2 linked regions of the Arabidopsis thaliana genome follow. The protein of the gene in region 1 interacts with the protein of each later gene in a biochemical or structural test. Each region holds a gene or a part of one and is shown in the gene's direction. Other genes may lie near its edges.

Region 1 (4,629 bases):
AAATCCTAATTAAGCATTTAATTAAGACCCCAATAGACGAAACGAAAGCAAGTACCATCATCATATATAATCATGCATATTTATCAAAGTTTTATATTTTATAACAAGAGAGGGAATCCCAAAGCTATCATCATCATCCACATTTACTCTACCATACTTTCGATTCTTTATGCTCTTTTTATAATCTTAATTGTTGTTGAAACTTTTGCTTCTTTATTTTAAATATACGTTTATGGTGCTTATTTAAACAACAAATATGTAATACGTCGAAACAGTTTGTAATATGTGTACGTAATATTAAACTATATCATTTCTTCGAATAATAACACATATCACATATCATATGTTATTTACAAAAATTCTTCATCAAATACATTCATTAACATATATATATATATTTATATATATGACATCTATGATCATATATTTTTATTTTTATCAAAATAGTCATAGTTTCCATATGTATTATTAATAGAGTTTAGTTTACAATATTTCAAAGCCTTAATAAGTAGTTCTTTTACTTTGAAAAAACAAAAATAGACATTTATAATAGAAAAACAGAGAGGTTGGTTAAAATGCTAAAAGTCTCATTTTATTCATACTTTTAGTTTTTTCTTTTTTTTTTGAAAAACCCTATTTATTTGATAACATACATAAATCAACTTTTGGGCAGTGGTGTTACATACCATAGTTCTTCACTTTTTTTGTATAGAGATTTGCTATCTGATTAAATAAAAACGAATAATGCTTGGGTTTAAAATTGTGAATAACAATGATAATGTTTCTAGTTTCCGGCAAAAGTAGCAGGGGAAGAATGATTACGTGAATGATGTAGGACCCAAAACGTTTTGAAATAAATTACTAAATTTTTGACCAAATTGAGTTGTTTAATTTGGAGAGGAGTGTTGGCCCCATCACTCTCTCGTCGACCTCTCCATTGTCTTTATGGAATGAATGATAAAAGAGGACACCTCACGTGGACTCTGCTGCCACAACGACTCTCTCCAACCATATCCCCTTCACATATATGACATATTTTTCTTACATTTACTATATATTAAAGACTCCACATTGTACATTTTTTCATCTCATTTATTAACGCAACGTTCAGATTTTTCCATTTTTAACTAGTCGTGAAAAGTATTTTCGTTGTACGGTGAATATTGTAGCCCTTTTTTACGGTGGGTGTTTTTTTTTTCATTTGATTGATGAGTAAATCTACATCGAGAAAAGAATATAATGAAAGATATACCGAAATCTTTTGATTATGGACAGATTTATTTTGTTTAAACCTTTTTTTTTTTTTACTGTTTTAAAAAGTTGACTAAATGCTTATCTGAGAAAATAATTAACGTGAAAAATAATTTGATATAATTCGGATTAAGTTAACTATAACAGACTGATTTTGATTGAGCAGAAATTAACGTTGAAATATTCACATTGGCTAATTACATCAATTCATTTTTGCGTTGATTAAATGACACTTTCTTTTCTTCAACTATTAAATGATATTCCCATTGTTGACATTTCTCTAAGTATATGATTTTAAGTAATTTTCATAAAGAAGCAATGAACAGTATTTTCATTTGAAAAAAAAAAGATATGTAATGAGATTTTTCTTTTAATTTTTTAATGTTATGTAAAGCTCACCCATATAATTCTCACTCATGATCTTTGTTTCTTTAAGCTTTTCTTCTCCATTGTCTCTCTCTTTCTTATCCTCTCTTTCTCAATCAATTCCTTCAGACTTATACACTTTATTTTTTTTCCCCTCTTGTCGAAAACATCACATATAAATAAAAAACCAAAAACCCTAATTTATAAAATATATATAAAATAGTTATAGCTCCCCACTTATATATGCAAAAGCCAACATCAAGTATCTTAAATGTCATAATGGACGGTGGAGACAGCGTCGGAGGAGGAGGAGGAGATGATCACCACCGTCACCTCCACCATCACCACCGCCCTACTTTCCCTTTTCAACTACTCGGAAAACACGACCCCGACGACAACCATCAACAACAACCTTCCCCTTCCTCCTCCTCCTCTCTATTTTCTCTCCATCAACACCAACAATTATCTCAATCGCAACCTCAATCGCAATCGCAAAAGTCACAACCGCAGACAACGCAAAAAGAGTTATTACAAACGCAAGAGGAATCTGCGGTGGTGGCAGCTAAAAAGCCACCGTTGAAACGAGCGTCGACGAAAGACCGACACACGAAAGTAGACGGAAGAGGGAGGAGAATAAGGATGCCGGCGTTATGTGCAGCTAGGGTTTTTCAGCTAACGCGAGAGCTAGGTCATAAATCCGACGGTGAGACAATAGAGTGGCTTCTTCAACAAGCTGAACCATCTGTAATCGCCGCCACCGGAACCGGAACAATCCCGGCGAATTTCACTTCTTTAAACATCTCTCTCCGTTCTTCAGGCTCTTCCATGTCTCTTCCTTCTCATTTCCGCTCCGCCGCTTCCACTTTTAGCCCTAATAACATATTTTCTCCGGCGATGCTTCAACAACAACAACAACAACAACGTGGTGGTGGTGTTGGGTTTCATCATCCCCATCTACAGGGACGTGCACCTACGTCGTCTTTGTTTCCTGGTATTGATAACTTCACACCAACGACGTCGTTTTTGAACTTTCATAATCCAACAAAGCAAGAAGGAGATCAAGATTCTGAAGAGTTAAACTCGGAGAAGAAAAGAAGAATCCAAACGACGTCGGATTTGCATCAACAACAACAACAACACCAACATGATCAAATCGGAGGATATACACTTCAATCTAGCAACAGTGGATCTACAGCCACCGCAGCCGCCGCGCAACAAATACCGGGAAATTTCTGGATGGTTGCGGCGGCTGCGGCTGCAGGTGGTGGTGGTGGTAATAACAACCAAACAGGTGGTCTTATGACAGCTTCTATTGGTACTGGTGGCGGCGGTGGAGAGCCTGTTTGGACGTTTCCTTCCATTAACACGGCAGCGGCAGCGTTATATAGAAGTGGCGTTTCGGGCGTTCCAAGCGGCGCGGTTTCTAGCGGTTTACATTTTATGAATTTCGCAGCGCCAATGGCATTTCTTACTGGACAACAACAGCTAGCAACAACTAGTAATCATGAGATTAATGAAGATAGTAATAATAATGAAGGAGGAAGAAGTGACGGTGGTGGTGATCATCATAATACACAGAGACATCATCATCATCAACAACAACATCATCATAATATTCTCTCCGGCTTGAACCAGTACGGACGGCAAGTTTCCGGCGACTCTCAAGCTAGTGGATCACTTGGAGGTGGTGATGAGGAGGATCAGCAAGATTAGACACACACAAAAACATTTTAACGGTGGGATTTTCTGCCGACGGCGGTAGCGGTGACGGCGTTCGGCGGCTGTGTAAAACTTTTGTTTTCACCGTTAATTTTTTTTATTTTCTGTAGTAATTTTTTTTGCTAAGTAAAAAAAAAAAAAAAAACACGTGAGATTTTCTTTTTAATTTTGATTTTTTTACTTGATTTTAAATTTGATTTTTCTTGTGAGTGAGTGATTAAATAGTACACGAGATTTTTTATGTCAGGTTTTTTGGATTTTGAGGAGAATATGACACTTTTTTTTATCATTATTGTTTTTAATTGTTTTTTTTCTTCTTCTGATAGTGTCACTGTCGTCTCGATTCTCAATCATCTTCGTTTTCTTTATCCATTAAGAAATTAATTATACATAAAGAAAAATTCTAAAAAGTATTCGTCAAACAATGTTGGTTCCTATAGTAATAATAGTAACATATACATCAAAGTATAATCTTACTGTTTTTTTAGTAACATTACGTTTTTTTAAGTGTTAATACAAAAAAAATTGAGAAACTATTTTATCAAGGAATGAGATGGGCCTCTCTCTATTGGCCCACCAATCTCTGTTATATTTGGCCCTTGAAGTAGTTGTTTCAAAGCTAATAGAAAACAGCAAAGTGTCTCGTTTGTTTTACATGGTCGAACGAAAACGATACAAAAAACATAAAAATATCTCGTTTGATCTTATATGCTATGAAATATATTAAATGCTTTTTTTAGTATATGATTCATTTTATCTCTGTTTCTTTGTCGTTTGTCCCCACTAAACAATCAATCTGATTTTGTATATGATGAGATATCTAATACTATTATATCATGATATTGTTAAAACTGGTTTTGTATATGATGATAATATTATATCAAGACTAGTTTAGACTATGAGAATTAATTAGAAAGTGATATAGTTTGAATGTCGCGTACAAAGTTATGGCTCAAAATTTTGTTTCTTTTTTTTTGACGAAGTACACCAAAAATATTTGATTGTTTCAGTATATTCTTTTTGTGTTTGTATGCCTTTAGAAAGTAATATTAACAATTTGTAAATTGATAGTGTTTAATTAGAACATAATTTACTTTATAAAATCTATTATTATGTTGTGAAAGAAAATATTCACTCAACATCGATCGGTCATATATTCAAGAATCAAGATAAATAATCTGAAGTTTTAAAAATCTGTTTTCGCATGGGTTAAATATAAGTTTTTACAAAAAGGATGAAGACAGAAAACAAATAAAAATAAATGTGAATGCAGACTATATAATATATCATTGA
Region 2 (6,946 bases), on another chromosome or scaffold:
TTGCGTTTTGGCGGAAAATGTTGAATGTCGTTTTTGGCACGAAAATGTTGAATTGCGTTTTGGCGGGAAAATGTTGATTGTCGTTTTTGGCGGGAAAATTTTGAATGTCTTTTTTGGCGGGAAAATGTTGATTTTTTTTTTGGTGGTAAACTGTTAAATCGCGGTTTAGGAGAAAAAAATGTGAAATCTTTTTTGACAAAAAAATGTTGATTCACTTGAAAAATGATTTTAAAAAAAATCGTGGGTACCCATAACCCAATGAGGTAAACCCATATGTGTTTTATTTATTTGGATACCCAGCCCATTTTAAACCTGTGTTTTATTTCCAGAAAAAATAGATCTATGAGCTTAAAATTTTATGTGTGTTTTGGGTACCAGTGGATTTTAACCCATCATTAACATCTCTAGGTACGGTACTCTAGTGGTGGCCTACATTGGTTGATAAAGTCATAAAGTCAATATCGTTTAAACATGCAAATGCAAATTTTATGGACCGGATTAAGTCGGAATGATCCGTATGTTGAGGCTTGAAAGAGCCCATCAATGCAATGGAAAATAGTCGTCTCTTTTCTTTTCCTTTCTTTTCTTTACGATCATAAAGTTCTCTTTTTTTTTGGGTGAATATTGTAAAGGTTTTGAGTCATTCTTTCCAACTCAATTCCACGTTTCTCATCTCTCAAGGCTTTTTACTACAAAAATCTTTACAGATACAAAGTTAGAGATTTATAACAACTTGGATAAGATGTCTCATGCATGAGATAAGAGAAAGTAAATTCTTGTATTTTAGGTGATTAAAGGAATAAAGACATATGCAGCATTTTTGCATCGGCTACTCAAACTCAGCTAAATTCTTCGCTATATATATATACTTTATTTTGTTACAATAATTGTATCAGACTAATACAACTTGATCCATGTGTAGGAAAGTTTCAATAAGATTGATCGTTTTTATGTTACCAAAAATAAAAAAAGATTGATCGTTTAAAAAGTCATTCTTAACAAGAAATAAATACTTGTTGAACTAGAAGTCTAGAACAAATACATTTGTTCAGACATTTTAAATTGTAAGATTAATTACATTCACAAAAAAAATTGTAAGATTAACTGAGGAATATAATGATGTAATAGGAAACTAACGCAAATGCTTAAAATGTTTTAACATTTTCATGATGAAAAATAAGTAAACATCTTTGGGGGTATAGATACTTAAGATAAAATATATAACTTGACAAGAAAAAAGAAAAGATAAGCATTTTCTTTAAATGAGAATTCCCAAAAACAAGCAGCCTTAATAGAAAATAAGTTATGGATCGTCCATACAGAGATCGACTTTAGCAAGTTGATAAAGAAATGGTCAGATCTCAAGGTGGAAACTGTTGCTGAAAAAAGCTAGATTTGATCTGATGCTGTCTTTAACCCAAAATATTAATTTGATCCCAAAAAAAAGGTAATTTAATCGAAAGAAAGAACTTAAACATGACAATAGGTTAGGCTTTTGTTCTGTAAAAATTGGGTGTCTGATTCCACTTTGAAGCCTCTCTTTCACCTTTGCTGCGTCATCACCGGTCACGACCTTCCTATAGATTGATGCCTCAAATTATAAATAACAATATTATTATTGGTCCGTCGTTTGTAATGTCATAAAAGCTTAATTCCCATTATAAAGTTGTCTGTGGTAACGTTGCAAAAGCGCATCTTTATCGTGTATTAGAGTATGACCTTTGTTAATACGCCCATATTATGTATAGTGCAAACATTGTTATACTACTTCTCATGGATTCATGAGTCGGATATTTGAAACCCAAAAACAATTACAAGAATCATACAAATTTTGAAACTAAAGTTTTAGTTAAAAAATAAAATGACATATCTTCAATGTAGCTATAGATTCATTAAAAACTCGGTGAGGGTATGAGACCATAAAAACAAAAACAAGGAAAATTTAACAAAACCAAAGTTTAAAGGCAAATAGTTAGAGCCGATGGAACGAGCGTCTCCATCAAAACCCAAAAAGAAGAATTTTTTTTTGCTTTCGTTTACAAATCTAACTTTTTGGTTTTTCTCCCCAACAAAAAAAAAAAAAATAAAGTGTAAAAAGAGAGAAGCTTAAAAGGTTTCAACTATCTTCCTCCTCCCCACACCGTTGCTTGAAGGATTCTTCCGCCTCAGCAAAAACCAAAAAGACAAAAATATTCTCTTAAAAAAACATCTCTTTCTCTCTGTTCCTTTCCTTTCAGAAGCTAAGCATCTCTTCCTTTTCTTTTTCTCTTTTAATTTTTTTTTGCCCGATCTCTTCTGCAAAGATTCTCTCTTTCTTTCTTCTCTTTTCATTTATGTTTTCATTCTCTAATAACAAATTGTAATGACTTATAACTTCTTCTTCTTCTCCCCTCTTCCTTCTTCTTCCTCCTCCTCTTCTCTTCTTTGCTTCTCTCTCCGGCCGTCGTTTTCGCTTTACTCACACGTTTTCAAGTATATTTAATCACGTGGGGGCCATTTTTCCATCCTCATGGATTCTTCTTCCTCTTCCTCTTCTTCTTCTCCTTCTTCTTCCTACGGTGTTGCTCGTGTCAGCCATATCTCCAATCCTTGCATCTTCGGTGTGTTTTCTTTTCTTACCAAATTCTATTCTTGAGACTAAATATTAAAAGCGTAAACCTAACGTTTTGATGATTACAGGGGAAGTTGGGTCGTCATCTTCGTCAACGTATAGAGATAAGAAATGGAAGTTGATGAAATGGGTGAGTAAACTTTTCAAGAGTGGCTCGAATGGTGGTGGTAGTGGTGCTCACACTAATCATCATCCTCCTCAGTTTCAAGAAGACGAGAATATGGTCTTTCCTCTACCTCCTTCTTCTTTGGTAATTATTTTCTTAATTATACTCGTTTAATTTGAAACATCTTTTCTTTGAAAAAATATTTCTATTTTAATCTACACACAAATACTATAGACATGTGATTTTTCATATTAAAAGCAATATACAGAAGACATGTGAACATACACTACTGTTTTACTTTTTTTTTTTTTGCTCGAGTTGTTTGAAACAAATAACATGGGTCATGTACATTCTGTAAAATTGTCACATCTTTGAATGAGTCGGTCCATTTTGTATTTTATTGTTGTCATGAGTCTCGTTGGGTTTTGATGCTCAAATTGAGATGATGTGACAATGTGGCCTTGAGCACTATTAGGGATAACAAAAATAGGTAGAAAATGGTTTATAAGGTTGGTTCAATAAGGAGTATTTATTAGTGGCCGAAGTTGAGATATTTTCGATTCATTTTCATGTATTATTCGATTAGATTCCAAAGTTACATAATTACTATATTATTATATGCTTTAATTTGATTGTTTATTAAGATTTATTTCTTAATTCTGTATAATCAAAATATTTCAACTTTTAAAAGTTAAAATGAACTACCTAGCTCATTGTGGTTAGGAATATAATTTTAATCCATGAATGAAATAGATAAACTGAGGTGGCCTATTTTGATACCTTTTTTTTTTTGTCAACCTGTTTTGATACCCTTATGCATGGTGGTGGAAAATTATTTTTATCTGAAATATGCTAATTTGTTTCATCAACTATTTTCTTGATGCCATTTCAATATTTTTTTAATGGTCATGTCAACGAATAAACGAATCACAGGATGATCGGTCAAGAGGTGCACGGGACAAAGAAGAACTCGACCGTTCAATTTCACTTTCTCTAGCTGACAACACGAAGCGCCCACATGGTATTTCTATCTACTTTCATGAATTAAAGTATTTGTTAGCAAAAAAAATTGAAGTTGGTTAAAAACGTTATTTCTATTGCATTAGAGAATGAATTTTAATTATGAAATAAATCGTGCAGGGTATGGTTGGTCTATGGATAACAACCGAGATTTTCCAAGGCCTTTTCACGGTGGCTTGAATCCATCATCTTTCATTCCACCTTATGAGCCTTCCTATCAATATAGACGAAGACAAAGGTACAACAAAACACATTCTCATAGTGAAACAAAAAAAAAATATTCCTATCAAAAGTAAAATAAAAATAAGCTGTTTATTGTAGCATTATTTCAAAAATACCTACGTCACGAATTTCCAAATAAACCTTGGTTCGAACTTTTAATCGTGACATTGCAAATTATGGAAACAAACTTAATATTTTCATTTCTTGAAACTTGATTTCATGATCAACTATCGTAGAGAATATAATTTATTTTGCAGCCATTTCCAAGTGCACATTGGTAACGTGGTTTACGTGATTTTTAGCAGAATATGTGGCGGTTGCAATAGCGATATTGGATCGGGGAACTATCTAGGATGCATGGGCACATTCTTTCATCCTGAATGCTTCCGTTGCCATTCTTGTGGTTATGCTATCACTGAGCATGAGGTATACATATATGCACACATATATATATATATAATAATCAATATACTCTTAATTTGTGTTAATGTCCTTCTGAAGTGACTAAGGTTGTGTGTTTTGTCTTCTCTCTTGATTCAAGTTCTCTCTGTCAGGAACCAAACCCTATCATAAGCTTTGTTTCAAAGAGCTTACTCATCCCAAATGCGAAGTTTGTCACCATTTTGTAAGCAACGTTACAATCACCTTGAAATTTTTTTTAAACATCATATATTTTTATATTAGTTCCAATTCCATATTCTCTCCTCAGATACCAACTAATGATGCTGGCTTGATCGAGTATCGATGCCATCCGTTTTGGAACCAAAAGTATTGCCCGTCTCACGAATATGATAAAACTGCTCGTTGTTGTAGCTGCGAACGTTTGGAGGTAATCAAATACAAATAATTTAACTATTGATGATAAGTCCATATCTATTCTTTTTTAGCAAATTAATTGTGTTTTTTTCTTTCTATGTTGTGATCATGTAGTCATGGGATGTGAGATATTACACGTTAGAGGATGGGAGAAGTTTGTGTTTAGAATGTATGGAAACCGCGATAACCGATACTGGAGAATGTCAACCGCTTTACCACGCTATAAGAGACTATTACGAAGGAATGTACATGAAACTTGATCAACAGATTCCTATGCTTCTTGTTCAAAGAGAAGCTCTCAATGATGCTATCGTAGGAGAGAAAAACGTAATATCTTTTAGCTTATACATAACCATTTTTGTTATAGTTTCTCTCAGAATACAATAAGAGTTAATCCTAGATATATCTGTATGTTTCACAGGGATACCATCACATGCCTGAGACAAGAGGTTTATGCTTGTCTGAAGAACAAACAGTTACAAGTGTATGTCTCTTCCTGGAAAGTTACTTGAAATTTTGATTCTAAACAGTAATTTTATTTTGCTCTGTTTTTTATTTTTTGGTTCTTCACAGGTTCTTAGAAGACCGAGACTTGGTGCTCACCGTCTTGTTGGTATGAGAACTCAGCCTCAAAGGCTTACACGCAAATGTGAAGTCACAGCGATTCTAGTTCTTTACGGGCTCCCGCGGTACTACACTACTCACTCAATTCTCAAATTCCCTTTTCGACAGTAAATGACTACTAACCTAATCACTTTTGTGGATGAAGATTACTGACCGGAGCAATTCTCGCCCATGAGCTCATGCATGGATGGCTAAGGCTTAATGGTACATACTGTAAGATTTATTTGGAGGTCACACATGTATTAATCAATCTGTTAAGAGTCATTATTTAATATCAAAACCTAAGTGGTCACCTTAGTATAAAGTAATTTTCAATCACTTTCTTGTCTTACACGAAAAGTAGGAGGAGGGGAAAACTAGGTTTACGGTTGTTCGTTTTTTTTTTTTGTTAGTTAACATTAATATGATTTTGTGTTATATGCTACATCTGTTTTGTTAACTATAACTATCAGCATCTTAAATTCTTTTGATTTCTTGTTTCTATTAGGGTTTAGGAACCTTAACCCTGAGGTAGAGGAAGGAATCTGCCAAGTCCTCTCTTACATGTGGCTTGAATCTGAAGTTCTCTCAGATCCTTCAACAAGAAACTTGCCTTCAACATCATCGGTGGCCACATCATCATCATCATCCTTCTCGAACAAGAAAGGAGGAAAATCAAACGTGGAGAAGAAACTTGGAGAGTTCTTTAAACATCAGATAGCTCATGATGCGTCTCCAGCTTATGGAGGAGGTTTCAGGGCAGCAAATGCAGCGGCTTGTAAGTACGGTCTTCGTCGAACACTCGATCATATCCGCTTAACTGGAACTTTTCCTTTGTGATCAGATTTAATGTTATGTGTCATCTTGCTATATGTTCTTGATTTGGATTTGATGGATCACACAGCGTTTGTGTTAACTTTAAATAGAATCTCAAGACAGACTTTATCTCCCCTTGGATTTTGAATGGGGATATTTGTTGCTTGGAGATTTTATAAGAACAATGACTGAATACTAATAACAAAAAAAAAGGCTTTATTTCCAAAGAAAGACCAAAGAAATTGCTGATGAATGATAATCAATATGTTTCCAAAATCTTAAACTGGAACAAGAAGAAATTACTACTTAAAACCAAGTCATAAAGAGCAGCTCCTTGAACACATTTTGGCATAAACAGTAAAAAAAGAAAACAAGAAAGCGTTAGACATAGGTATCGATCAAAGACTTCCTCATTTCACTACCGACGAAATCAGGCTGAGATTGGACTAGTTTGAAGATATTGTTAACAACAGAGAGCTCTACTGCAGTAGTATCTGACCCACAGAAAGCGGTCCAATCGTTCACAGTCAAACCCGCGGATATAACTTGGCTGCCACGGTTCACGGTTCCTGCAACCAAAGGCACCTGAACAAGATTCGCTAGCTCGACCATTTCTTCCACGTTGGTATTTGAGTGAACCTGTACATCATATTAGCTAGTCAGGTGATTTTCTAGTGAGACAAATGCCACAAAACAAAGACGAACCAAAAGAATGGGTGTTTTTTATATAGTTGTCTACTAACCATTCCACC

Evidence for each region. Proteins that work in one complex are often made in the same cells at the same time.
Region 2: the proteins of TCP14 (region 1) and DAR2 form a complex in vitro, tested with the Arabidopsis thaliana proteins (one study listed by BioGRID).

What each region holds. Positions count from the first base shown.
Region 1 is NC_003074.8:17,557,144-17,561,772, forward strand, and holds TCP14 (TEOSINTE BRANCHED, cycloidea and PCF (TCP) 14), read left to right. Parts: upstream 1-1,649; 5' UTR 1,650-1,860; coding exon 1,861-3,330; 3' UTR 3,331-4,116; downstream 4,117-4,629. UniProt on the Arabidopsis thaliana protein: Transcription factor involved the regulation of plant development. Binds to the Up1 elements (5'-GGCCCAWW-3') in early light-induced proteins (ELIPs, e.g.
Region 2 is NC_003071.7:16,619,222-16,626,167, reverse strand, and holds DAR2 (DA1-related protein 2), read left to right. Parts: upstream 1-2,017; 5' UTR 2,018-2,509; coding exon 2,510-2,600; intron 2,601-2,679; coding exon 2,680-2,861; intron 2,862-3,650; coding exon 3,651-3,738; intron 3,739-3,857; coding exon 3,858-3,975; intron 3,976-4,264; coding exon 4,265-4,385; intron 4,386-4,500; coding exon 4,501-4,584; intron 4,585-4,668; coding exon 4,669-4,788; intron 4,789-4,889; coding exon 4,890-5,102; intron 5,103-5,196; coding exon 5,197-5,259; intron 5,260-5,348; coding exon 5,349-5,464; intron 5,465-5,544; coding exon 5,545-5,612; coding exon of another isoform or gene 5,613-5,671; exon of another isoform or gene 5,672-5,886; coding exon 5,887-6,218; 3' UTR 6,219-6,425; downstream 6,426-6,946. Other genes in the region: eIF6B (Translation initiation factor IF6), read right to left, coding at 6,576-6,833, 6,938-6,946. UniProt on the Arabidopsis thaliana protein: Acts redundantly with DA1 and DAR1 to regulate endoreduplication during leaf development.